Zea mays: one gene and its partner. The main gene of each other region encodes a partner of the protein of the gene in region 2 in a complex. Links are inferred from orthologs where the notes say so. Each region holds a gene or a part of one and is shown on either strand. Other genes may lie near its edges.

Evidence for each region. The genes of interacting proteins can lie anywhere in the genome.
Region 1: the proteins of NADH dehydrogenase [ubiquinone] 1 alpha subcomplex subunit 6 (region 2) and Acyl carrier protein 2, mitochondrial are in contact, whole or in part, in a cryo-EM structure (PDB 8BEE), measured with the Arabidopsis thaliana proteins. The link is inferred for Zea mays from reciprocal best matches to the Arabidopsis thaliana genes AT3G12260 and mtACP2. Residues at the interface, in NP_566416.1 of Arabidopsis thaliana: Phe27, Asp28, Phe30, Arg31, Cys34, Arg35, Arg56, Tyr57, Ser60, Ile63, Arg64; in NP_176708.1 of Arabidopsis thaliana: Phe61, Gln62, Asp82, Ser83, Leu84, Asp85, Val87, Glu88, Met91, Ala92, Glu94, Glu95, Glu100, Ile101, Asp103.

What each region holds. Positions count from the first base shown.
Region 1 is NC_050104.1:154,583,200-154,589,192, forward strand, and holds the start of Acyl carrier protein 2, mitochondrial, read right to left. Parts: upstream 3,697-5,993; 5' UTR 3,573-3,696; coding exon 3,354-3,572; intron 1-3,353. UniProt on the Arabidopsis thaliana protein: Carrier of the growing fatty acid chain in fatty acid biosynthesis. May be involved in the synthesis of short and medium chain fatty acids.
Region 2 is NC_050096.1:4,115,617-4,121,551, reverse strand, and holds the start of NADH dehydrogenase [ubiquinone] 1 alpha subcomplex subunit 6, read left to right. Parts: upstream 1-2,530; 5' UTR 2,531-2,704; coding exon 2,705-2,917; intron 2,918-5,935. UniProt on the Arabidopsis thaliana protein: Accessory subunit of the mitochondrial membrane respiratory chain NADH dehydrogenase (Complex I), that is believed to be not involved in catalysis. Complex I functions in the transfer of electrons from NADH to the respiratory chain.

The DNA.
Region 1 (5,993 bases), on a different chromosome or scaffold from region 2:
TGGTTTTCTTGCCACGTGCAGAGGCATATAACCAAATGAATGGGCAGACTGAAACTCCAAGGACCAGTTGTGCAAAACTGAGTAGGCAACAATGCCAACAAAAGCAACAGCAGAAACTTCATATCCATGGCAATGCATTGATCGCAACAAATGAGCATCAGGAAGACAGGAACACAAGACGAAGGTAACAAATGCTGCATCTCATGATTTCCCTGATGAGCTTGGCCAACTACATGAATGGATATATTGATGATGTTATGCATGAACTACACCAATGCAGGCATAAGATGGTGATTAGACACTTCTGTAACAAATAGCTAATGTAGAACTATTAAATAGACACCACGGGTATTGCTGTAACCTGGAATAATTCGACTGAGGTTCTTTAAAAAGAAATAAAGAACGAAAGGTTGTCACTCCTTACTACATTGTACTATGTGCTATTTTATATGCATGTAAATGAATGCTTCTTATTTGTATAATATCTTCTACATTGTATGAAAAAAGGCTAAAAATACAGTATATTGAGAATATCGATATGCTCATATCATGATGAAACTATTAATATTAAGTGCTGGCGTTCATGTCTTCACACTAGCTAAGTAGCTAGAGCACCTACAAATATTGAGAATATCGATATGCTCAGCAACTTGAAAGCCTGACAGCCTGAGTTAATTTAAATGCTTGATTTCTCATGTTCTCACAAGTGCTACCCTGCCAGTAGGCAAGCAGAGAATAGTGAGATTTGAAAACAAAGAAGAGAAGCTCTCATGCGGTAGCTAGCTTCATCCTAATTATAGTAAAAAAAATCTAGTTTTAATTTCAATCCCCTTAAATTTGTAAGTCCTCAGCTCAAGTGCTTGTTCAGAAGTATAAGAGAATACTGTCCATAACTGAACCAACTGCCTAATCCATAGCCACTAAGGTTAGTCAGACTTTAGAGCAACTCCAAGAACCTATTTATATCCTTCCTAATTCATAGGAATAGATATTTTGGTGAAAAAAAACTCCAACTTCTTAAATTAGATATCCAAATACGGACATTCTCTATTCCAAATTTCTTGCCAGCCAATGATGGACAGCGGGGTTGGCTCTCTAGAGTGTGCAAGAGATATAGCAAAGTTGTTAGAGAGTGAAAAGATATAGAGCGTGGTTTTTATTCAAATGGCTCTCCAAATGATGATTTAGAGAATAAGTTTAAGAGAGGCTCTTGGAGATGCTCTTATGTTAGTCTATGTAAGTTTAAGCCTGCTAACTGGTTTCACTTGTAGACACTTGTGTTTGTTTAGTGATTTCTTCATTTGGTTTCTTGATGCTGAATCTCAATATAGCTATGCTAATTCCTAATCAATTTAGGGTGCGTTTGGTAGGGATTCAAACTCTCACAGAAACATTTCAGATCCAGATTGTCTCAAGAAATGTTTATTGGTGATGAATCAGAATCACTTCGTAAAACCGTTTGGCTGGTAGACTAGATTCTGATTCAAAAAATATATATTTATAAAAAAAACATGTAAATAAAAATGTTCTTAAAAACAGAACTTTTTATGGGTGAATAACCTAAATACAGCCTATTTTAACTTATTTCACTTAAAAAGAACTAACTAAAAAATTGTGGTTGCTTATACAGAAGGGGGGCCAATAATCAGAATCACGCGAAACCAGCTAGCAGGTGTTTCTCCTTGCTAGGCATAAAAATGAGAAATGTTTCTAGTGATTCTCGAGTGAAATGTTTCTCATCAAACCTGTTTGGCAGTGATTCTACCGATTCTCGCAAGAATCCAAAACGCTTCTGGATGCCGAACAGGGCCTTGATCTCTTGAAACTATCCAAGCAACTGTTTACACTGAACAAATCAGCACCTAGTAGTGTTCCGCTTGATTTACCCATGAAAATCTTGACCGTAAAAAATCCCAAATAAACAAATAAACTTAAACAAAAACTATATAGAAAACTCCCAATGTTACATTAATGCATGTTTTCACAAGAAAAACATGCCATTCCATTAGTAGTCATTTCTAAATTTCATTTGAGTAAGAAAATAAAACATTTCTTAACAAATTAGGCAATTGCCCTAAGTATTAGGCTATTGGCTAAAGTGTACCAACGATGAACTATCCATGCTAACTCTGTAGCACAGATACGTCAGGAAGGTGTTGTATCGCGTATCAGATACGTATTTGATACGCATACACCACCGATACGGGTTGTATACATATCCTGCGAGTACCCGAGTTTTGTTTAGATTAGGAAATATAGAGTATGTGACCTGATATGTATCAGCCTATGGAATACAGCCTAGCCCAACAAGTACTCCCTTATCTCCCATACCTAACCCCAAGGCCTGGCATGGTTGCACAGTGCCCGCCTCCTGCGCATACACGCGCTTGCTTCCAGCTCTAGAGATGTGTCACCACTTACCAGCTACCGCCGCCGCCAGCTGGCGACGAGCCCCCACCCTCTCACGCCGCCTGCTGCGCACACGTGCGCTGCACAGGAGGTGCGGCACGGCTCGCCGGCCTCTAGAGAGAAGCTCTTGCCCCCTCTGCTCCATCAATCAACTTCTCTCTGAACCGTTGCGCCAGGAGCACCGTGATGGGGAGCACCCACTAGTCTGCCATGGCAGCGGCAAGTTTCCAGTTTCCCACGATGCAGGGGTGGGTGCATGGAAGAGGACGATTCAGCAGCAAAGCAAGCTGTCGACGATCTTCCATGAGCACATCACTTTTTCATATTTGATCTACTCAACTTCTGCAGTTCTGCTTGCTTGACTTTGTGTGTTCCTCACATCTCCTTCAGCCTTCATGATTAGTGTTTCCCATGCTTGATTGCTTGCATTGAATAGATGGCATCTCCAAATTTGGGTAGTGCGGCGCAAGTGCATCAAATAGATGGACCCTCCAATTTGACTTTTACAATTTTAATTTGCATTCTTATTTATTTATTAAAAAAATAAAATGTATAGGTGCATCATTTTTCTGAATAAATGCCATATCCACATATGTGTATCCTTCCGATACTGATACGTCTATCTGTATCCGTACTGCATAGCACACTAATGAACAAACTCAAGTTGAAGTAACACTAGTAACAACAGCACAACTTGCACACGTTTTGCCACACTGAAACCACTCTTCGAAATTTAATCGAACACATAGAAATGTTTATCAAGTTATCATTATTGCACACTGCTAATAGATCCAACAATCAGCTCCGTCTAGGTTTATATACAACATTTGTTTCTCGGAGAGAAGCTATTGCATGGATTCCATTCGATTGTCGGTTTGATCTCATCAAACACCTCTTGTCCCAGCTAGCCAACGGTAGGGAGAGTGTGACAGCAATGTTTATACCTTGGAGGGGTCATCGATCTTCGGGAAGCTCTTGACGACCTTGATGATGCGTTCAGTGACCTCGCTCTTGTCCAGGAAAGAGCCCTTGGCATCCTCCGAAGACATCCACCGCTGCCCCCACAGGGCCTCATGCAACGACGCCGTCGGCCTCACGGACGCCGCTGACGGGGCCGCCGCCAAGCGGAGGTGCCTCAGAAGCAGGCTCCTCGCCGCCGCCATTCGCGCCTGGATGAACTGGTTCTGTAGCCTCGGGAGGGGATCGGAGGCGGCGGCTAGAGAAGGAAATGGTTGTTGCGGCGGCGGAGCGGAGGCAGGAGAACATGCGGGACTTTTCAGTCACTTTAGACCCTATATACAAGTCTATGGGCCTATTTATTCTTGGCCCAGGTTTGTCAGGGCCGGCCCGTCAAACTGTTCATTTGTCTTCTCGTTTCATGTTTTTGTTCTCCTCGAAAGAAAACAAACTTATGTTTTTGTTCTTTCTTTGTTTTCCTTGATATGTCTTCACAGAGATTGATTGGACTCCAGCTTCATTTTAAATAAAAAAGAGTAAAATATACCACAAGTATAACGCTTTGTATGATTGATGTAAATATAGGTCTCATATAAAAATGATTGAGACATAAATTTATTATATGGTACATTCTCAACATGTCCCCCAACTCGCATCCAGTTGGTGATTGCCAATGGGGCCATTCTTTGGCTATGGATAGCTAATGTTCACATATCGATATCCGATGATTTATTTGAGTTCATCCAATTCTTGTAGGACAAATCCACTACTTACAACCTCACATTGATTAATATTTTCATATAGGAGATTGATGTGGTTCTTTTAATGGTGCTAGGTAATTCTCCACTCTTGTTTATACTGATTCGAGGTGGTATTGTTTCTCCACTCTCTCGTCCATAAAGCTCGAGGAAGCCCTAACGTTTGCAGTCCAGCTAGAAAATCACAAAGGTGTGATGTTTCATCTTGAGTTGGCGTGGTCTTGGAGAAATCTATCTAATTGCATGTTTTTACCTTTTAAGGATTCAATATCATCATTGCTCGGGCTTGAGAAATGGTTAAGTCTCCTATGGTCATTGGTCCTTCTCAAAGCCTACTTCATGGCCCTGCCTTAATTATCAAACATGTTGGTGTTCCATCACCTTTAGACATAAGATGTTGATTAGTGTAAGGTTAGTGTCTCATTGGTGCTTTCATAAATGATGATCACATCCAGTTGATGTTTGTTATTTGTAAGGTTAGTGTCTCATTGATGCTTTCATAGAAGCAAGTCTGCATCTACCATTCTCATTAGTCTTGGCAATCACAAATGTATGATTAATCACTTGAATACGAGGTTTTACAAACTAATAATGGTGACAGTTTAAAGACGAAATGATCTAAAGCAAAACCTAAATTCTGGTTGATTATATGATCTATGGGTGAAAGGGAAATGTGCCCTTGGGCCATTTCTAAGTATTTTGGTGATTTAGTGTCCAACACAAGTGCCTAAGTGTAAAATGGTGGGCAAAGTACAAATCAAGGATAAAGGTATGTTTCTCAGACTTAGTACATTGTTTTAGAGACTAATGTATTGTGTCTAAGTGCTGGAAACAGGAAAAATCGAATTGGAATTGTCTTGGCTCGAGCAGCCAAGACTCTGCTCAGTCTGGGAGCACCGGACTGTCCGGTGGTGCACCGGACAGTGTCCGGTGCGCCAGACTAGCTCGGGCGAACTGGCCGCTCTCGGGAATTCACCGGCGACGTACGGCTATAATTCACCGGACTGTCCGGTGTGCACCGGACTGTCCGGTGAGCCAACGGTCGGCCAGACCAACGGTCGCCCGCGCGATCTGCGCGGGACACGTGGCCGAACCAACAGCTAGAAGGGGGCACCGGACTGTCCGGTGTGCACCGGACATGTCCGGTGCGCCAACGGCTCTCTGGCTGCCAACGGTCGGCTGCGCCAGTTAAGGAAAGAAATCGGGCACCGGACAGTGTCCGGTGTGCACCGGACTGTCCGGTGCGCCAGACGGCAGAAGGCAAGAATTGCCTTCCCAGATTGCTCTCAACGGCTCCTAGCTGCCTTGGGGCTATAAAAGGGACCCCTAGGCGCATGGAGGAGTAGAACAAGTATTCCTACAACATTCCTAAGCACAAAGACATCAATTCCGCGCCTTTGATTCTTTGCAATAGCATTTAGAGCTCTAGTGGAGTAGTGAACTCTTTGAGTTGTGTTGTGAGCTCTCGTTGCGACTTGTGTGCGTGGTGTTGCTGTGATTTCTTGTCTTGAGTGCGTTTCTAATCCCTCCCTTGCTCCGTGCTTCTTTATGAATTTCAAGTGTAAGGGCGAGAGGCTCCAAGTTGTGGAGATTCCTCGCAAACGGGATTGAGAAAAAGCAAGCAAAACACTGTGGTATTCAAGTGGGTCTTTGGACCGCTTGAGAGGGGTTGATTGCAACCCTCGTCCGTTGGGACGCCACAACGTGGAGTAGGCAAGCGTTGGTCTTGGCCGAACCACGGGATAAACCACTGTGTCATCTCTGTGATTGTTCTCCTGTGGTTATTGTGTTTTGCTAAGACTCCTCTCTAGCCACTTGGCATTTACTGTGCTAACGCTTAACCAAGTTTTTGTGGCTTAAGTTTTCAAG
Region 2 (5,935 bases):
GTCGTCCCAGGTACGAGGGCGAAATCCTGCAGGCTTTCTGCGAGCGCGCTGGCGTCGTCTTCTTGCTCGGAATCAACGTGTCGCGGGGGGACGGCGCTTGCCTTCGTCTCGAACGCGAGGTCGACGCCCGGCGTGCCTTCCGTCGGGGCGTCGGGGGCGTCGATCCGCTCGACGGCCGACGAAGCGCGGCCTCCCGCTTGGCCTTGATGGCCCCGCCTCCTCCTCCGTTGGCGGGGGAGAGGACGGAGCGAGCTCGAATGTTGTTCTTCCACCACGCGGGGAAGATGTCGTCGATTCCGCCGCCGGCGGGCGGGTTGTCGGCCGCCATTGTCGTTGTCGCGCGGTGGTGGAAGGAGTATCATGTCGTAGCTGCCGTCGAAGGACATGAACTCAAGACTCCCGAAACGGAGCACCGTCTCGGGCCGGAGAGGTTGCTGGAGACTGCCCATCTGGAGCTTGACGGGAAGCTGTTCGTCAGCACGCAGCAGGCCCCTACCTGGCGCGCCAACTGTCGGTGTTTCGAGACAGGGGGGTCCCTAAGCCGACGAGTGAGTGTGCTGCGTGCCCCAGCCCAGATGGGTCGAGCGCGTGGGCGAGCGCGAAGGGGGGAGAGGCGAGGTGGCCGGAGACGGGCGTGAGAGAGGTGGAAGTCCCGCGGCCTTCGTGTTCGTCCCGCGCCCAGGTCGGGTGCGCTTGCAGTAGGGGGGTTACAAGCGTCCACGCGGGTGAGGGAAGCGAGCGGCCCCAGGAGAGCGCCTGTCTCGTCCTCGTCCCCGCGCGGCCAACCCTCTCTAAGAGGGCCCTGGTCCTTCCTTTTATAGTCGTAAGGAGAGGATCCAGGCGTACAATGGGTGTAGCAGAGTGCTACGCGTCTAGCGGAGAGAGAGCTAGCGCCCTGGGTACATGCCAATGTGGCAGCCGGAGAGGTCTTGGCACCTTGCTGGCGTGATGTCGTGGCTGTCGGAGGAGCAACGGAGCCTGGCGGAGGGACAGCTGTAGGAGCGGTCGAGTCCTTGCTGACGTCGCCTTGCTTTCGTAAGAGAGCTGAGAGCCGCCGTCGTCACAGAGCTTGTGGAGCGCCATCATTGTCCATCTGGCGGAGCTAGCCAGATGGGACGCCGGTCTTGTTCTCCGTGACCTGAGTCGGCTCGGGGTAGGATGATGATGGCGCTTCCTGCTGACGTGGCGGGCCTGTGCTCTAGGTCGGGCGACGTGGGGGCTCCTCCGAAGCTGGGGTCGAATCTGTCTTCCGTTGCCGAGGCCGAGCCCGAGCCCCCGGGTCGGGCGAGGCGGAGAGCGTTCGGCCGAGGCCAGGGCGGAGTCCGATCTCTGGGGTCGGGCGAGGCGGAGTTTCGTCGTCTTCCGGGGCCGAGCCCGAGTCCGAGCCCTGGGGTCGGGCGGAGCGGAGTTCGCCGTCTTCCGGGTCTTAGCCCGAGTCCGAGCCCTGGGGTCGGGCGGAGCGGAGTTCGTCGTCTTCCGGGGCCGAGCCCGAGTCCGAGCCCTGGGGTCGGGCAGAGCGGAGTTCGCCGTCTTCCGGGTCTTAGCCCGAGTCCGAGCCTTGGGGTCGGGCGGAGCGGAGTTCGTCGTCTTCCGGGTCTTAGCCCGAGTCCGAGCCCTGGGGTCGGGCGGAGCGGAGTTCGCCGTCTTCCGGGTCTTAGCCCGAGTCCGAGCCCTGGGGTCGGGCGGAGCGGAGTTCGCCGTCTTCCGGGTCTTAGCCCGAGTCCGAGCCCTGGGGTCGGGCGGAGCGGAGTTCGCCGTGGCGCCTTTGGCAAGGCCTGACTGCCTGTCAGACTCACTCTGTCGAGTGGCGCTGCAGTCGGAGTAGCGCAGGCGGCGCTGTCCTTCTGTCAGGCTAGTCAGTGGAGCGGTGGAGTGACGGCGGTCACTTCGGCTCTGCCGGGGGACGCGTGTCAGGATAAAGGTGTCAGGTCGCCTTTGCATTAAATGCTCCTGCAACTTGGTCAGTCGGTGCGGCGATTTAGTCAGGGTTGCTTCTAAGCGAAGCCAAGGCCTTGGGCGAGCCGGAGGTGTGTCCGCCGTTAAAAAGGGGGGCCTCGGGCGAGACGAAAGTCTCTCGAGGTCGGCTGCCCTTGGCCGAGGCTAGGCTCGGGCGAAGCGTGATCGAGTCACTCGTGTGGACTGATTCCTGACTTAATCGTACCCATCAGGCCTTTGCAGCTTTATGCTGATGGGGGTTATCAGCTGAGAATTAGGCGTCTTGAGGGTACCCCTAATTATGGTCCCCGACAAGTAGGAATTCATCACTTTCTAGATCCTGAACCCTATGGACAACTTTATTTTTCTCTGCACGTAATTCTAATGATACTTAGATTCTCTACACAACCAGATTTTTCCTACAACCAGATTCTTAGAAAAGCTGGTGAGAAAAAAGCTGAACCAAATAAGACCGATACTCACTGCGACCCCAAGAGAAGAACAAAACTCCATATTTCTATTTTTTTAATGTGAGAAATACAAACCTCCATATACTTATTCATTTCGTGTAGTAGTTGTATTAGGCCTCCCTAAACTGCGTCGCCCTCTTTCCGGCCCAACCACGAACCACTCCTCCTACAGAAATCACCTGCCGGCCTGGCCTTTCCGTAGCTACAACCGAAGCCACCACCAGCAGTCCAGCACGACTAGCGGAATAATATCCACCGGCGACGGGAACGGGAGGCGGCGCGGCCGGAGATTCGAAGCGATGGCGTTCACGATGCGGGCAGTGAAGGTGCCTCCGAACTCGGCCTCGCTGGAGGAGGCCCGGCACCGCGTCTTCGATTTCTTCAAGCAGGCATGCCGCTCTATCCCCACCGTCATGGAGATCTACAACCTCGACGACGTTGTCACGCCCTCTCAGCTCCGCTCGACCATCGCTAAGGAGATCCGTAAAAACCAGAACGTCACCAACCCCAAGGTTCCATCCCGTTCTCTTTCTCGTCCCCCCTCTCGATTCGATCCCTAGGTCCGAGTCGAAACATTTACTTTGACTGCTTCTCTGATTTGGTTGCTGCTCGATCTGAGGGGCAGTGGAATCCGACATATGTTCGGTTGATTGGGGCTTGGAATCGTTCTTGATTGCCGCGTGGACTTGCGGTGTTTCATTCGAAGACAGTTACAGTATTGTAACCTGCTAGGCTGCTACCCAATGTTATAAACATAAATGTTTGATTGTGCATTTTCTTGTCACTGTACACCATAGTAAACTGTGAAGATGGCTATCAACATGAATCCTGCTAAAGGAATCATGAAAATTTGATACTTTAGGTGATCATTACTGCCTTACTGCAATTACTATGTGCCCGCGGGAACATATAATACCATGATAACTTATTATATATAAATGTGTTATACTGTTATGAGAAAAGAGTTTCGTAATCTATTTGTGATCCTAGTCATACATTTTTTTTGTTATTTTAATCTAGTTCGGTGCACATACGTTAGGTGTGTGGCCATATGGAGCTCCTCTAATTTTTTTCTGCATTTGGTTTAATTCTTTGATGCCTAATAAAGAATGGTTGTTCGGATATTGTAATATTATTTTCTTATAAGCACTATATTTGATTTGGTTCTCTCTCTTCAATTCTTAATAAACAATAATTCTTTCACGGTTCTCTCTTCAATTCCTAATAAACAATATACAAGCAAAATAGCAAAAGTACAATAACTAAAACTAAAACAGTCGGGTGTAGAAGGGTAACTCATATAGTCATATAGTCCCTAAACTGCAAACATGTCAAAACTGGTACTTTAATGGTGACAACAGAGGCGTGCTCCAAGAAAGAGTGGCATTTCAGACACCTTGCTGATTCAGATAGCAGGTTTGAACTTTGAAGAAGTACATGTACACCAGGCTGCACAGGCATACCACATTACCACCTAGCTGCTCTTCATTTGTCTGTCGAGTCTGAGGTTATGTGACTGCAAGCAGGTATGACCAGAAGAAAGGTAATGGAATCAGGCCAGACCAGCTATTTTGTCTGTCGAGTCAGAGGTTGTGTTTTATCTCAAACTTTAGTTAGTGATCATAAACTCTGTTCAGTATCGCATTATTATCATACAGTGCATGAGCTGCAACCTGACATGATTCACATACATTATTCTCATCCAACAACTAATTTACTTAGAAGAAATGTCATCCAACAAGTAATTTATTTAACAGAAATGTCATCTAACAAGTAAATTTGAAGTTCAAATTTTGATAAAAGAAGTGGTATATGATTCAAGCAATCTGATTCTACGACTACATGAAGCAAATCATCACAATGAAAAGTTGATCCCACGACGACGGTTTATCTCACTTCGTAGGCTTCTGTAGTACTGCTGCTGATCTGCATCCATTCCGCTATTGCCCACTTTCATTATTCTTCCTCTAGGCTCTAGCATTCTCTTCATATGCATACATTTTTGTTCATTTGCAACCCTTGTGCGCTCTATCTCAAGTCTCTCCTTCTCAATTTCTAGTGATTCGTTGAATCTTTCTTCTTCAGTTCTTTGTCTACATCAGCTTGTTTCTTTTTCTCCCACAAATTATCCAATGCCTCAATGTAACCATCAGCACCACCTCGGCGTAATAGTTGCTTAGCCTTCTTCCTGCCAATGGGTCTTGTAGGTGCATCACCCTCTGGAGTTGCATCGCCATTTAAGTTACCAGTCAAATCTATAACTGAAAATGTTGCCTTCTGTTTCTTGCAACCAGATTTTGTTGAAGCTAATTGATTCATCTTTTCATTCCACTTTGGTTCAAGTCGTAAAACATTCCAGCAGTGTATGAACTGAAATGACTTGTTATCTTTATCCTCAGCTTTGTACAAAGAGTATGCATTAGTGAGCTGCAGAATTCCAAATAGGAAAACATGAGTTTCATGTATGCATATTAAGTACAGCTAAGACAGTAACTAAAATTAAGGCATTAATTATTTTGTACCTTGTTTTCAAAAGTCTTTCTGCTTGCATTCCTACCCTCAATCCAGGACATACAGCCACAAAACTTATTCACACACTCTTGGATCGAGGCCCAGTGATGCATAAGTGAATTTTGGTTGCGATCTGGAAGAAATCATAGACCCTTGCCCAATAAGTAGAACATTTTTATTTTGTCCAATAAGAAACACTGCAAAGACTTGACAAAGTTAAACATAATTTCCAATAAACTGGTCGTAGACGAAATAAGTGCTTGATATTGATATATATACTAAACAGAATTACCGATATCAACTTGGACATAGCTAAACAGAACATGCCAACCCAATAAACAAGGTCATACTGAAAAACACGTGGTGGCATGCCATCACACAGCAAAATATCTAGAAACGAATGAAAGTCATTAAAAGACAATGATTAGGATATGTGTTTGACAAAGAGGGGAAGATGGGGAGCTAAATTCAGAGTTTAGTTGGTATCCACAATATTATTTATGAATCACTCATCTTAGGCTGCTCCATGGATCAGGGTGTAGCTACAAACATGTTTAGCTTGGTGCTGTTTGTTTGAGAAAGAAGCGAGGATCCACTGAAGATTTTATTGCTTGGCATAAAGAACTCTCACCTTTTGATTTATTTTCAGAAATTTGGAGAGATAGTATAGGGGGAGTAAACGATTATTAGTCAATATATAAGGAATTTGCTACTGACATCTAGCTAGGAACTGTTTTTTTCAAAGATCTGCTAGTCGCTGTTTTGGCAACATTGATGGGGTTCCATTCTCATTATAGTATTTTTGTGACTTTCATCGGGAAATTGGTAACAAAGTCCTTTATCTCCAAATTTGCCTTTGTTCAAACAAAGGGTTCTGCCTGCTTTCAAGTTTTATTCCTGAAAGCGCAGTAGCTAGTACTTGGCACAATTTGCATATTTCCAGTCTAGTTCATATTCCATTGTCAGGTTTAACTGTTCAAGCAAAACAATCCAATTAACATGCCTGACATGCATATTTC